Linked DNA regions of Drosophila melanogaster. The protein of the gene in region 2 purifies or fractionates together with the protein of the main gene of each other region. This does not show direct contact. Each region holds a gene or a part of one and is shown on either strand. Other genes may lie near its edges.

Region 1 (4,298 bases), on a different chromosome or scaffold from region 2:
ACTGAAGTAAACGCAAGCGCGTACACCAAAGAGGTCCGGGCGAATGGAATCCCAGCCTGCAGTTGTTCGTAATGATATTTGTTGGTCGGATTGGCAATATGTTGTTGATGCATTTCTACGCCCCAGTAACTAAGCGCACAGTCTCTCTTCACGTGCACGCCGGAATCCCAGTGCACAGAATTTTACTGTATTGTACTGCTAAGTACGGTTAGTACTAGTATCTTGTCTAGGATAATGTATTATGTTATTTGCCATATTTAGTCTATTGGTTTGTTTTATATGGGTCCTGGTCAAGTCTATACTCTGCACCACAGTGTGCAAATCCTTAAGCAAATTTTTAAACATTGAACTACTGCATATATGTATTAACGTAAGTTCTAAGCCAGATGTATCGTACTATTTACGTTGTTTGCATTTTTGTATTCCTAACTTGGACACTAACTTTTTGCTAATCTAGATTGCATGGAATTTAGGCAGCTTTACGGCAATCGAATACGTTCAATGCCAATTACTCTTGTTGCAACGTGTATGTATTTTATTTAAATCTATCTATGAATATTTTACAAGAACAAAATATCAATCAACTCCTTGAGCGATCTTGCAGTCAAAGGAGCTCGCAAATAAAGAAAAAATCACACAAATGTATATGTATATTCAGGAGGGGAGATTTTGCTGTTTAATGTCCTCCTCTTCGCCCTCCAGCTCTACATGGTCATACATGCGATAGGCTTTGAACTGGCCCAGCTTGACACCATCCACGTAAAAGAAGCTGAGAAAACATCTGCGGCACAGGTAGGAGGGATCGTGCAGCTGTCGCCGGGACTGGTTCACGATGAAGCTATAGCTGCGAATGCCGCACATATAGCAAGTCCTGCGATTAAACGTACTGAAGGCGTGAGGATAGGGATACAGGCTGCGATCTGGCCGTTTACTAAGTGGCGTTAGCACCTCTACCTGGGAGATCACAAACAGGTGTTCGCAATTGCCGTGGTGCAGGTAGTGTAGCGGTGATCCGGGGCTGACAGTGAGATCGATGAATCTTTTGCCCTCCATACTCTCCACCTTAAGCGTTTCTCCGTTCACTCCGTTCGCTCTGGCAGCCCACTGCAAGACGGTCTTGGAATAGTCGGGATTGTCCGGATTGCGCTGGTCGTTGTAGAATGTGTCGTTGATGAAGAAGTAACCGGGATTTGTGTCAATGGATGGCAACGGTGCATCTGGATCGTCGCTGATGTCGACAAACCGTTTTCCATTGCAAACGCAGCTGATCTTGTCCCGCAGCTCGGTCAGATAATTGCTGCCCAGACATACGAACTCCTCGGCGAAAACGGGAATCTCCACCTTAAACCCGCGATGGTAGGCCCGCGGTGGTCGATATAGACGCACGGTTAGCTCCAGTTCGCCGCAAGCATCGATGTGCAGGTTAGGCGAGTCTGTCGGCGTCGGATTCAGTTTGTGGCTGTACTGGGTGCGGCCAAAGGGACACTTACGGGACTTGTCCTTGTGCTGGCTTAGAGCAGTAAAAGTGGAGGGCACATGCTGGTTCTCCTGCGGCGGAGAAAAGGTTGGGCGGCATTTGTCTGCGGCGGGCTGGAAGACTGCAATCGAGCTGTCGTCTGGGGACTCGATCAAGTCCAGGGAACAGCTTTCAGACACGTCGACAAGTACTGGGTTTTTTTGGAGAAAGAAGGGCACTTCGTCTGCAGTACCGGATATTTTCTTTTGATAGTCGGCTAGAAAGTCTCGCAGGCTTAAAGCTGGATTCGTTGTAATATAGGTGGTATCCATGGTACTAAGAGGTATGTCTTGAAAGAGTGTTTTTTGTTCAGGATTAGACTCAGTTCTCCACACTCAATGATCTTCTCCAAACTTGTTAATAGCCTCCTTGTAAGTTATATTTAGCTTCAGAGATTCTGGCTTTGGCTCGGTCTGATCGTCCTCTTCAGTCTCAGCCGACTTCTCCACCTCCTGGTGCAAATTGTCCACGTAGACCCTTTCAAAAGATATCACCTTGGTGGATTTGTCCACGTACTGGTACCGCTGGCGACACACTGACTCAAAAAGCGGATCACTTGCCAGATTGTCTTTTTCCTTCTCAAAGAACACGTTGGTTCCCACGGAATGTTCGTAGCGTCCCCGATAAATGCTTCCATTTACCTCGGCCATGGGCGTGTCACTCTCGATTCCGATGATCTTAATGGCCGCGTCCTCGTGCTTCAGCTGGTGCGGATGAATGTGGTTCTTGAAATCCGCAAATACCAGGTACTCTGTGTCCTCGTACTCCGAATCGGAGGAATCGTTCATGTTCTCCTTTTATCGTTATGCATGGGCCCTGATTGATGGTTGAATGATGGCGTTATTTCGCAATATATGACTTCCTTAAACAATAATTTGTCTGATTCCCATTTACAAAACCTTGTTAGAAATGTGCGTGCACATTCCTCTTCTTTCCTTCCTATGGTAAATTTAAAATGGCATTGTGGTGTGAAAATACTATTATTTTTATCATCCAAAGAACTGCTTTCTTAAATACCGGCAGTTATCGATAGGTAAACCCACCACCAAACCATCGAAACTATCGAGGCGAAAACTGTCATCGGTAAAAACGAGGCGAACACAAATCTGTTTCAATTTGTGTCAAAAACTACGTACGTTTTCGTATAGTTGTAAATATTAGTAAATAATAAATAAATAAGCTTATAAATAAATATTTATGCTGACGTGGTGTGGCGCGAAACAAAGTCGAAAAGGGTTTAAAAACGTAGACTTTTGAACGAAAAACAGCAACCCAGCAACCCAGCGTACGTGTGTTTTCACAGGGCAGCCATTTTGGGCGAACTCAACGTCAGCAGAACGAGCTCGTAATTTGTACATTTATTAAACGTAAGTACAGTGTGTTTAATTAAATATCAGTGTAGTAGTGCGAACGCAGTGAAACCTAGACATTTCGGTGTCCGCAGCCTGAATTTATTTACTTATGGCTTGGATTTTCACTGCATTTGCATGATGAACTCTTCATTCGCGCTCTTAATGTTTTACGCTCTTTATGCTCACTTTCGCCGCCCTTTTCTCATTGACAGCTACCATACATACATAGTTACGACAACTGCCGTTTTGAGTACCACGCCGGAAGCTTTTGCGCCAACAAAACCGAGCTTTTGTAGCAGACGTAAACAAACCCAAATCCAAAGCAATGGCCGATGAAGATATCACATTGAACGAGGATCAGCTCCTGGAGTCATTGGAGGAGACGAACGGGGAGCAAGAGACTGAGATCGCCACAGAGGTCGAGGTGAGTTGGGGTTGCCCTTGTAGACAGTGCCCAAGAACCAGTTTCTTGGCCTCACGCCTTGCGAAAGCCCGCCGAATTCCCTGGAAAAGCTCGCAAAGCTTTGGGGGATATACAAAGCCGAAAACCGCAGCAATGGCTGCCATTTTCAGAGCGTCACTTCGCACCGCCACTCCATTCCATTGTCTGCTGTGGTTTCGGGCGTTTGCTCATCGCTCCAAATCAAATACCACTAAATTTCATATTTTCCTCGTCGCCAGGAGGAGGGCAGCATGCAAATCGACCCGGAACTGGAGGCCATAAAGGCTCGAGTCAAGGAGATGGAAGAGGAGGCCGAGAAGATAAAGCAGATGCAGTCGGAGGTGGACAAACAAATGGCCGGTGGGTCTACCACCGGCTTGGCCACAGTCCCGCTTTCTCTTGAGGAGAAGCAGGAAATCGACACGCGGTCCGTCTACGTGGGCAATGTGGACTACGGCGCATCGGCCGAGGAACTGGAGGCCCACTTCCACGGATGCGGCACAATCAACCGAGTAACCATACTCTGCAACAAGGCTGACGGGCACCCCAAGGGATTCGCATACATTGAGTTTGGTTCCAAGGAGTTTGTCGAGACGGCATTGGCCATGAACGAAACCCTCTTCCGAGGGCGTCAAATAAAGGTGAGTATCTGAAGCACTTTTTGCTAGTCCTGCTACCTATCAAACTCTCATGTACATATGTGGATAGAATGAGTCCTAGGGACTCCTACGTAGCGCAATTTTGAAAGCACATATTTAGAGTTGACTTTAGCTTAATCTATTGACTTTCAGGTAATGTCGAAGCGCACAAACCGCCCTGGACTCTCCACCACAAACCGTTTCGCACGCGGCAGCTTCCGGGGTCGAGGAGCCCGTGTCTCCCGGGCGTGCTGTCACTCCACCTTCCGAGGCGCCCGAAGAGCTATGTAAGTGGGCTCTGGAAAATCCCGATTGGATCGAGCTAATCCCGGTCTGTCTTTCGTTCCAGA
Region 2 (3,786 bases):
GCCCAACCGCGAGTTGATCGGCACCGACTATGTCAGCAAAATCGTCGCCAAGGAAAAGTGTCTCCTGAACGGGGTGAGAACTGGAAGCTTGCGTCAGCACTTCTGTTTGTTTATGTGTAATTCGATCCAGACGCTGCTCAACGAACAGCCTCAAGGCAAACGCATTCGAACGCTGGACGATTTGGACACCGACGATGAGGGGGAAGAGACCGAAATTCGCCGGGATGACGAGTACTACAAGAAGTTCAGATTCAATCTGAATCGCGACAAGAACTTGTCCATCTACGCCAAGCGCGAGGAAATATTGGCGGCCATCAATGCTCATCCGGTAGTCATTATTAAGGGCGAAACAGGATGTGGCAAGACCACGCAGGTGAGCAAAACTTAAATAAAATCCTAACTTTTTTATTAAGTCTATATTTTAATAAAGCCAACGCAAGCGAATTATAATTAAACCTTTTATCCTCGACTTTTGAAATTCAAATCCAAACTAGTCGAGAGTATTTAATATTATATAATAAATAATAATCTTCAATATACTTTTCAACTCTTTATATAAGAATAGCAAAGCCTAGGAAACTTATATCCTATATAGTTATATATCCTATCCTACATACTTAAATACAATGAATATTTTATGTGCAACAGATAAACAAGATCACATCGCGCAAAAATGCTAGTTATTTAATTATGTAAAAGTTTTATAAACTAACTCAAGTATCCAAAATAGCTTTGAGTTCTTCTTCCGTGACCTCCTCGCTTTCACCCACTTCCATTTCCTCGTCGTCACTAAACTCAATCATCTCATACTCTTGCTGCACGTCTGCTGGAAGTTCCCTCTGAAAAACGGTGGCCGAGGACATGCGGCGTTGATAAGTCTCGTTGACCTCCAGCTGCACTTCTAGTTCATCCGCCTGGTTTTGCGGCTCCCGTTCCTCGACGCCGTACATGGCCTTGTTCCGCACCCTCTGGCGCACTTCCAACTGGTTGCCTGTAGATGTTGTGGTACAATTCTCATCTGGAGTACTCTTTCTAGCTCCTAGAACACTTTGGATATCGGCAAAGACTTCTCGCAAATGGCCGAATATTTGAGAGGGCGGCAAAGCGTGCTCATGACCAGCCGCCAATTGCTTCTTTTGGGCATTGTATGCCGCTTCCAGTTCACACAATGGCTGGCTTGCCTGGTCCAGTGCTCGCAGACCCTCCAGTTCGTATGTGAGACTGACGCCGTTCGCACGCTGTTGCTTCTGCATCAAGGCACTCTGCCTCTGTTCCTTGGCACCCGCTACGGTCTCCACACGGTCGTAGTCCACCAGATTGTCCAACCCCTGGCAATAGTCGAGCGCGGTGAAGCGGAAGGCCTGCTCCTGGGTCAGGCGCCACAGCATGTAGGCGATCTGATGAGTGTCCTTCCGCTCCGGACTATCCTTGCGCAGATCTAGAGCGTAGTCTGTTAGTTCTTGCCAAGTGCGCGGTGAGACCTCGATCTTAATAAAGTTGTGCGTGGGCTGCTTGTAGTAGATTACGTAGAGCAGAAAGAAACCTCCGATCCTTTGAGCGCGAGATGCCGGGAAAACGTCCCCGGTGGTGCGTCGGGAGCACGACAGTCGCTTGGCCACATGCAGGGCCGCCAGTGTGGTGGCTATCACCTCTGTGTGGTTCGTCTGGGCAGTGAAGAGGTGCTGCAGCTGCAGTTCTCGCCAGCACCGGCAGAACACCTCGAACTCGCAGTTTTCGCCATCATTAACCAATCGCTGAAATCGTTGCACCAGCTCCCAGCAGTCGTCAAAGATATTCAGCTCCATTCTGAATCTTAATTACGCGAAATATATGCGCATCTCTCATTCAAAAGAGCCTCAAAATATAAACAATAACATTCGCCGGGAATAAGCTTTTACAACACTAGCCGGGGAGTTCATCGATAAATATGTAGTGTTCATAACTGCTTAGCTATTTTCAAAAAAAAAGCGCAAAACTATAAAAACTGTTTGAAAAATGTGTAAAAAATACAATTACATTTTTGTTCTGCTTTGTAAATATTTAGATATTTTCTTATAATTATTATTAGTATTCAATCAATTATTCTTACAGGTGCCCCAATACATTTTGGATGAGGCCTATAAAAGCGGTAAATACTGCAACATTGTGGTGACACAACCCCGGCGCATAGCTGCCATCTCCATAGCGAATAGAGTTTGCCAGGAGCGCGAGTGGCAGCAGAACACGGTGTGCAGCTTCCAGGTGGGCCTGCACCGCCCGAACTCTTTGGAGGACACTCGTCTGTTGTACTGCACCACCGGGGTGCTGCTGAACAATTTGATTAACAACAAGACGTTGACCCACTACACCCACATTGTGCTGGACGAGGTGCATGAAAGAGACCAGAACATGGATTTTCTTCTGATCGTGGTGCGTCGCTTGCTGGCCACGAACTCGCGGCATGTAAAGATTATCCTGATGTCGGCCACCATCGATGCCAAGGAACTGTCCGACTACTTTACCACCACTAACTCAATTCCGCCAGTGATCACCACCAATCATCGACGTAAGCACTCGATCGAGAAGTTCTACCGTGACCAGCTCGGCAGCATTATTTGGAATGAGGAAGATGTGGGACACCAGCAGGTGCCAGAAATCAACAAACACGGTTACAGGGCAGCGGTAAAGATCATAGTGATTATTGACAACATGGAACGGAAGGCTGCAATCCAGTCGCGGCAGAGCTATGACGAGGCCCTGCGCTATGGAGCTGTGCTCATCTTTCTGCCAGGCATCTACGAAATCGACACGATGGCAGAAAATCTTACTTGTATGCTGGAAAACGAGTAAGCATTGTTATCCGTGAGAATTGCTCACTGTACAAATTTTGAAGTAGCTAAAATTGTATCATTATAATTTCCAATCTTTATTGTTTAATTGCAGCCCCAACATTAAGGTCTCTATTGTTCGCTGTTTTTCGTTAATGACACCGGAAAACCAACGGGATGTCTTCAATCCCCCGCCTCCCGGTTTCCGCAAGATCATTCTGACCACAAACATTGCTGAGAGCTCCATCACGGTGCCAGATGTCTCATACGTTATTGACTTTTGTCTTGCCAAAGTAAAGGTAACCGATACGGCTAGCAGCTTCTCTTCGCTCCGCTTAACCTGGGCGTCCAAAGCCAATTGTCGTCAGCGTGCCGGCCGCGTTGGTCGTCTTCGTAGTGGACGCGTTTACCGTATGGTTAATAAACACTTCTATCAGAGGGAAATGCCCGAGTTTGGAATACCAGAAATGTTGCGCTTGCCCTTGCAAAACTCGGTGCTCAAGGCCAAAGTGCTGAATATGGGATCACCGGTGGAAATCTTGGCATTGGCTCTATCTCCGCCGAATCTGTCGGACATACACAATACAATATTGCTTCTGAAAGAGGTGGGTGCTCTGTACTTAACAGTAGACGGCATCTACGACCCGTTGGATGGCGATCTTACCTACTGGGGCACAATCATGTCTCGGCTGCCGTTGGACACACGTCAGTCCCGGCTTATCATATTGGGTTATATTTTTAACATGCTCGAAGAAGCTATTATTATAGGTAAGCGGGCAACAGTAGTTAAGCTTTAGGATAACGGGGGGAATATTCTTTGTCTTGCATTAATGATTTTTTTTTTAAATATGTTGTAGCTGCTGGCTTATCGACGCCTGGCTTGTTTGCGCACGAAGGTGGTAGGTCTCAATTAGGCGATTCATTTTGGATGCACTATATCTTCTCCGATGGATCTGGCTCCGACTTGGTGGCCATTTGG
Region 3 (4,886 bases), 7.8 Mb from region 2:
GTATGAAGTAAAAGTACGGGATGAAGCGACTTGTCCATCTCTGTGAATTGATGTTCCGTTTAGCAAGCCCTTAAACTTAGGATTATAATATTAATTGTTCCTTGTCCACACTTCACAGATATTCAGATGCTGACTCTGTTGGTCCCTGTGCTCATTGGCTTCCTAGCGGAACCCAGTCGACTCCGGACGCTGCCAAAGTATCAACGGCAGCTGCACGACCAGGCGCTGCAGTGGCTACTGAAGATCGGTCCGAAATATCCGCAGGAGTTTAAGGCCCTGATGGGTCAAACACCGGAACTGCGACAAAAACTAGAAGCGGCCATTCGCAGCCAACAGCAGTCGATTAACATTGCCCAAAAAGCAAGCGAGGCGCAGAGGAACCTGCTGGCCAAGCCGCAGAAGCCTACGATCAAGCTGAAGACGGATTTCAGTAACTTCCAATGAGCGCCTCCCCCGGGAATCGAACAAAATAGTTCTCAAGCTGCTAGTGCTATCATAAAAATGCTTTGTAATACATTGTTACCGCATGAACAATAGGATGGATCGGTTCTTTTTATATTGAAAATAAGGTTTAGACAATTTTGCTCTAATAACTAAATATCCGGGATAAAAGTTTTGAAAGGATTGTAAAACGGCAACTAAAATATACATTAGTTTTTTTGACTGCTTGTGTATTAAATTGTTTCGTTTTGCAGGGCGTTTTGCTATAAATATACCTTTTTTCAAACCTAAGCAATATTTTTAAACTACAATCAGAAAAATGAGCCACCCTAATGCACATCGGTCCGGCATTTGATTTTGCTGTATGTGAAATACGTTAAAAGTACCTACAAGTTTATAAATTATTTGTTAGCCATTGTAATGAACTATTATATAACGCGATATGAAGTAAAAAATATAAACTTTTAAAGCTTAAATTAATCAATATTACATATTTACTTATTAGTTCCTATGGAACTGTATATTCCATTTCCAATTCCTGCTTGACTGTATTAATCACTTCATTCTCGCTAAGCGGCTCGGATTTTAGATCATTCTGTGGTGCCGGCTCTGGATCGATTAATTCAACATGTGTACCCATTTTTGCATAATCGTGTTTGGGGCGTGGTAAAGAAACTAATGCTGATGGTAAGTCCGTAAAGAGTTGTGATTCCAAGCGGCTGAGAAGAGTGGTACGATAGAAAAGAGCTTGCAACCGCTTGCGGAAAAGCTGGATGGGTGGTAAAGATTCATTGTATTCGAAGCTACGTGTTTCCGTATCCTTGCGACAATCTCCGGAAAGAATGCATAAGGCTCGAAACCCCATCATAGTTGACCAGTTGGGTGGCAAAAGTGGGCTCTTCATATCACCTTCCTCGTCCGGAAGGTTTCGGATCATGCTGTTGTAGCACTTAAGCACATCATTTGGCATAAATATGTTTTGTAAGAGCGAGGGTCGAATTGGTGGCTTATATGCAAGAGCTCTGATCACGTAGGCAAGGTTATAAACGTCTTTTGGAACTGGAAAAGTTTTTGGAGTGCTCAGCGTCAGATTATAACTAAACTTAAAGAAGTTGCAGAACTCTATATCAACTTTCGAAAGTCTTGAGAAACTCTCTGCCTGTCGCTCGATCCTAGCCTTTTTCGATTTGGGACCGCGCACCCGAGTTCCTTTCGGGGGGTTATCATTAACTAATGACTCTGGGTCCTCTTGCCACTCTTGCAAACGCTGCGCCCAGTTATCAGAGTTAACCAAGGACACCTTCTTCGATCGGCGGCGTGGCAGGTCTTCCACTTTTGCATTGGGATTTTGTTCAAGGAATTTCTTGATGACTAGGAAGCGGGTTCGACAGCTGGTCCGCGTGTGATTGCCCAAGAACGTGGCACAGTTAAGCCACTGGGAAGCCCCGTATTGCGTTACGAAGCTCATCAGCCGTGTGTCGTCCTGAACGGACCAGGAGTCGGTCTTGTTGCGTTGTGCCAGTACATTGTGGTAGCGAGTTCGGAGTTGGGTTAACGACCGGTTTGGGAAAAGAGAACGCGGAAAACAGTGAAACTTTCCATTGTACTCTTCAACGGCGGCGAACAGCATCATGTCCTCCTTGGTAGTGAAGGGTTCTGCAGTTTCAAAGGAGCGAAATAATAAATTAAAAATTATTCAATATATTGGGTACCTACCGTGACTGATGCTAGGATGCAACACGTAGTAGTAACGACCAATCAGCGTTGATTTGGACTTGTCCGGGAAGTATTCCACGACTTTTTTCCAGTTTATTACACTGTTTGCCGTATTCCTATCAACGATCGCCCTTAGTTTATCGTTGTCCTCTTCGCTCCAGCGGTGGCTGTTCTTTGGCTCCAGCAGAAAACGTAGGGCGGTATGAAAGCGTACGAAGCACTGATAGTCGGAACGTCGGTCTAGCGACGCGGCTATCAACTCCCAGTTCTGCATCCTGTTCGCAGTGGCCACCGCCAGTAAAGTTTCGTCCTCCTCGGGTGACCAATCGTCTCGCCTGAGATCTGGTGTTAAGTAGACCCTCCACATTGCCTCACAGCTATATGGTGAGTGCCGATATTCCAAGTCCAGGGTGCTGATCTGGTTCCAGTCGATGCTGAAGCTACTATCCGCAGTTGCCAGCAGACTTACCAGTGTACTTAAGTGTCGCTCGATTGGCTTGCGCTTCAGGCTTCCGCTGGGCAGCGCATTCGTACTGTGGGCCCTATGCTCCAGTAACTGAGAATTGAGTTTTTTATAAAACAGAATATTAGTATTGCTATTTAACTTTTCATTGCTATTAAATGGGTATTTGGCAATCAATCTGAACCACTCGAAGGGTCCACTCACCTGTTGTTTTATACCCATTATCACATTCTTTTTGTCTAGCAATGTCCATACATGTCTGGAGTGCATGTCAAAGTCGGTGGGAAACATCTCCGTGTGGCACCGCGCCTCGTAATCCTCGTTGTTAGGACAGCTTCGACCATCGATGTCTCGGAAAAACAGGTTGCCCTTGAAGCGAAACGTGCCCTTCCGCAGGATCGCCCCGCTAAGATTGAGGGAATTCGGGCCGAAATGGGAACGAGGTCGCAGCCGGCGCACCAGGATGTCCTCGTTCCGAGAGAAGCGGGCCCTTACTACTTGTAACATGGCCAGAATTTTGGTCCGGACTTGCATGAGCCGGCGCTGGAGCTCCTGATTCAGCTGCAGTGCGTTGGCGGCGCTCGGCTTCGCTGTGTTCTGCAAGAGGGCCGAAATCTCGTCCATAAGCTGCTGCTGGTTTATGCGCAGATCATCGGCATCGTCCATTGCTCAGGTTGTTTTGTTTACATTGCCTTTGACTTTAGCGATGAACTATTCCCGGCATCAACTATCGATAAAATGGTTGCAATGGTCGAACTGCATTAAGCAAATTAATACCCTGCAAATAAAGTAACATTGAACATTACATAGGAAATTGCTGTATTATTGGACTAAGACCTATTAAAGAATAGATAGAGATAAAATAGATATCATAACTGCCATTTTTCGTCCTTATTTATTCCCAGAAACTTTGGTTTTATCTAGTGGAAAGAACATGATTTCAATAAACTCAGTTGTAAAAGCGCGGGATTATTTTAAACAAAAGTTTGGTCAAAAATAGTTTTTTAGAATAAAGATCTTAAAACTATCCGCCATGCACTAAATAATGATACCCTTGGTAACAAAAAATATTTAGTATGTCAAAATGTTTTGTAATTTTAATTTTTTTATGTTGTATAACGTGATCTGTAGAAACTATTAATGTATTCCGATTTTTGTTAAGCCTTTCATACGCCCTCAAATTGGCGAAAATTTGGGTAGATTTAATATCAGCTGTTGTCAAACTCGCAACCAAGCCTGAGTACACCTAATTAGGTGAGCATCTCAAGGAAAAACGATATTCAACACTAGTCGAAATTGGCGAATCAGCAGTGACCGATGACAATACCAATCGCCTATCGCTGCTGCTCGAGAAACAACAAAAGAGAACAGAGAAAAAAAAACGCGTAGTAGCAACTTAATTAACAAAATTCGTGGTGAATGCGCTAGCATAACATGGAAGATGTCCCGGTCAAGATAGTCGAGCGCTACAAACCACCGCCTGCCGTGTACCACCTGCCGCAGGCGACCCTCAATCGCCTGTCGCAATTCCGAGAAGGTTTCTACACGGATCATCCGGATTACCAGTATGACTGTCAGCTGGAGAGGGCCGTGCTGAGTCAGGCGCAACGATGGCGCCACCTGCGTCGCCAGCAGCGCGAGGAGCGAGCCAGTCGCCAGGAGCGTCGCAAGGAGGAACGCCAACGGGCGCTGGAGGCGAGACAGAAGGAGATGCTTGGAGCAGTTGATTATCCTAGTGCGGACGACTTGTCATCGGATGAGGACGAGAAGGAGCGAAAGAAGAACGAGCCCGAGCAGAGGGACGAGGAACAGCAACAGCAGCCACCACCTCCAATCACCGCTGAGTCACGCGACTCTTCCCACGAACCAAAGTCAATAAGTGTGTGTAATTTTCACAATATCTTGCAGCCCACCATTCTGAGCACCACTCCAGTGGTCAGTCCGCAGACGCTGCACAAGCGTAACAGCTCCCTAAACTACGCAGACTTTGAGTACAATATGAACTCCACACCTTTCGACAATATCGAGCTGAAGACCATCAACGATCTAGACATACTAGCTCAGGTTCTGCACCAGACACAGCTGGAGAAGCGCATAGATCAACAGCAGCAGGATCAGCAGCAGCAGGAGCCGCCGCATGAGGATCATTCCAAGGAGGAGCAATCTGGCAATGAAGTGCCAGCTCCGGTGGAGCTAGCAATGACTACGCTGGCGGAGACCAAAGCGACGCTCGACAGCGTCAATTTCCATGTTCACTGTGATGATA

What was found.
Region 1: the proteins of Pbp45 (region 2) and Pbp49 fractionate together in Drosophila melanogaster (co-fractionation; 5 studies listed by BioGRID, with this or other methods). This does not show direct contact.
Region 3: the proteins of Pbp45 (region 2) and Pbp95 fractionate together in Drosophila melanogaster (co-fractionation; 5 studies listed by BioGRID, with this or other methods). This does not show direct contact.

The regions. Positions count from the first base shown.
Region 1 is NT_033778.4:8,128,841-8,133,138, forward strand, and holds Pbp49 (PSEA-binding protein 49kD), read right to left. Parts: upstream 2,484-4,298; 5' UTR 2,416-2,483; exon of another isoform or gene 2,333-2,415; 5' UTR 2,305-2,332; coding exon of another isoform or gene 1,852-2,304; 5' UTR 1,789-1,851; coding exon 655-1,788; 3' UTR 514-654; downstream 1-513. Other genes in the region: CG42516 (uncharacterized protein), read right to left, coding at 1,852-2,304; Pabp2, read left to right, coding at 3,194-3,292, 3,550-3,951, 4,102-4,235.
Region 2 is NT_033777.3:15,837,608-15,841,393, forward strand, and holds Pbp45 (PSEA-binding protein 45kD), read right to left. Parts: upstream 1,909-3,786; 5' UTR 1,806-1,908; coding exon 714-1,805; 3' UTR 539-713; downstream 1-538. Other genes in the region: spn-E (spindle E), read left to right, coding at 1-73, 131-373, 2,092-2,825, 2,923-3,575, 3,665-3,786.
Region 3 is NT_033777.3:8,012,238-8,017,123, reverse strand, and holds Pbp95 (PSEA-binding protein 95kD), read right to left. Parts: upstream 3,334-4,886; 5' UTR 3,287-3,333; coding exon 2,825-3,286; intron 2,714-2,824; coding exon 2,158-2,713; intron 2,098-2,157; coding exon 950-2,097; 3' UTR 514-949; downstream 1-513. Other genes in the region: CG2747 (uncharacterized protein), read left to right, coding at 119-444; CG10435 (uncharacterized protein), read left to right, coding at 4,055-4,886.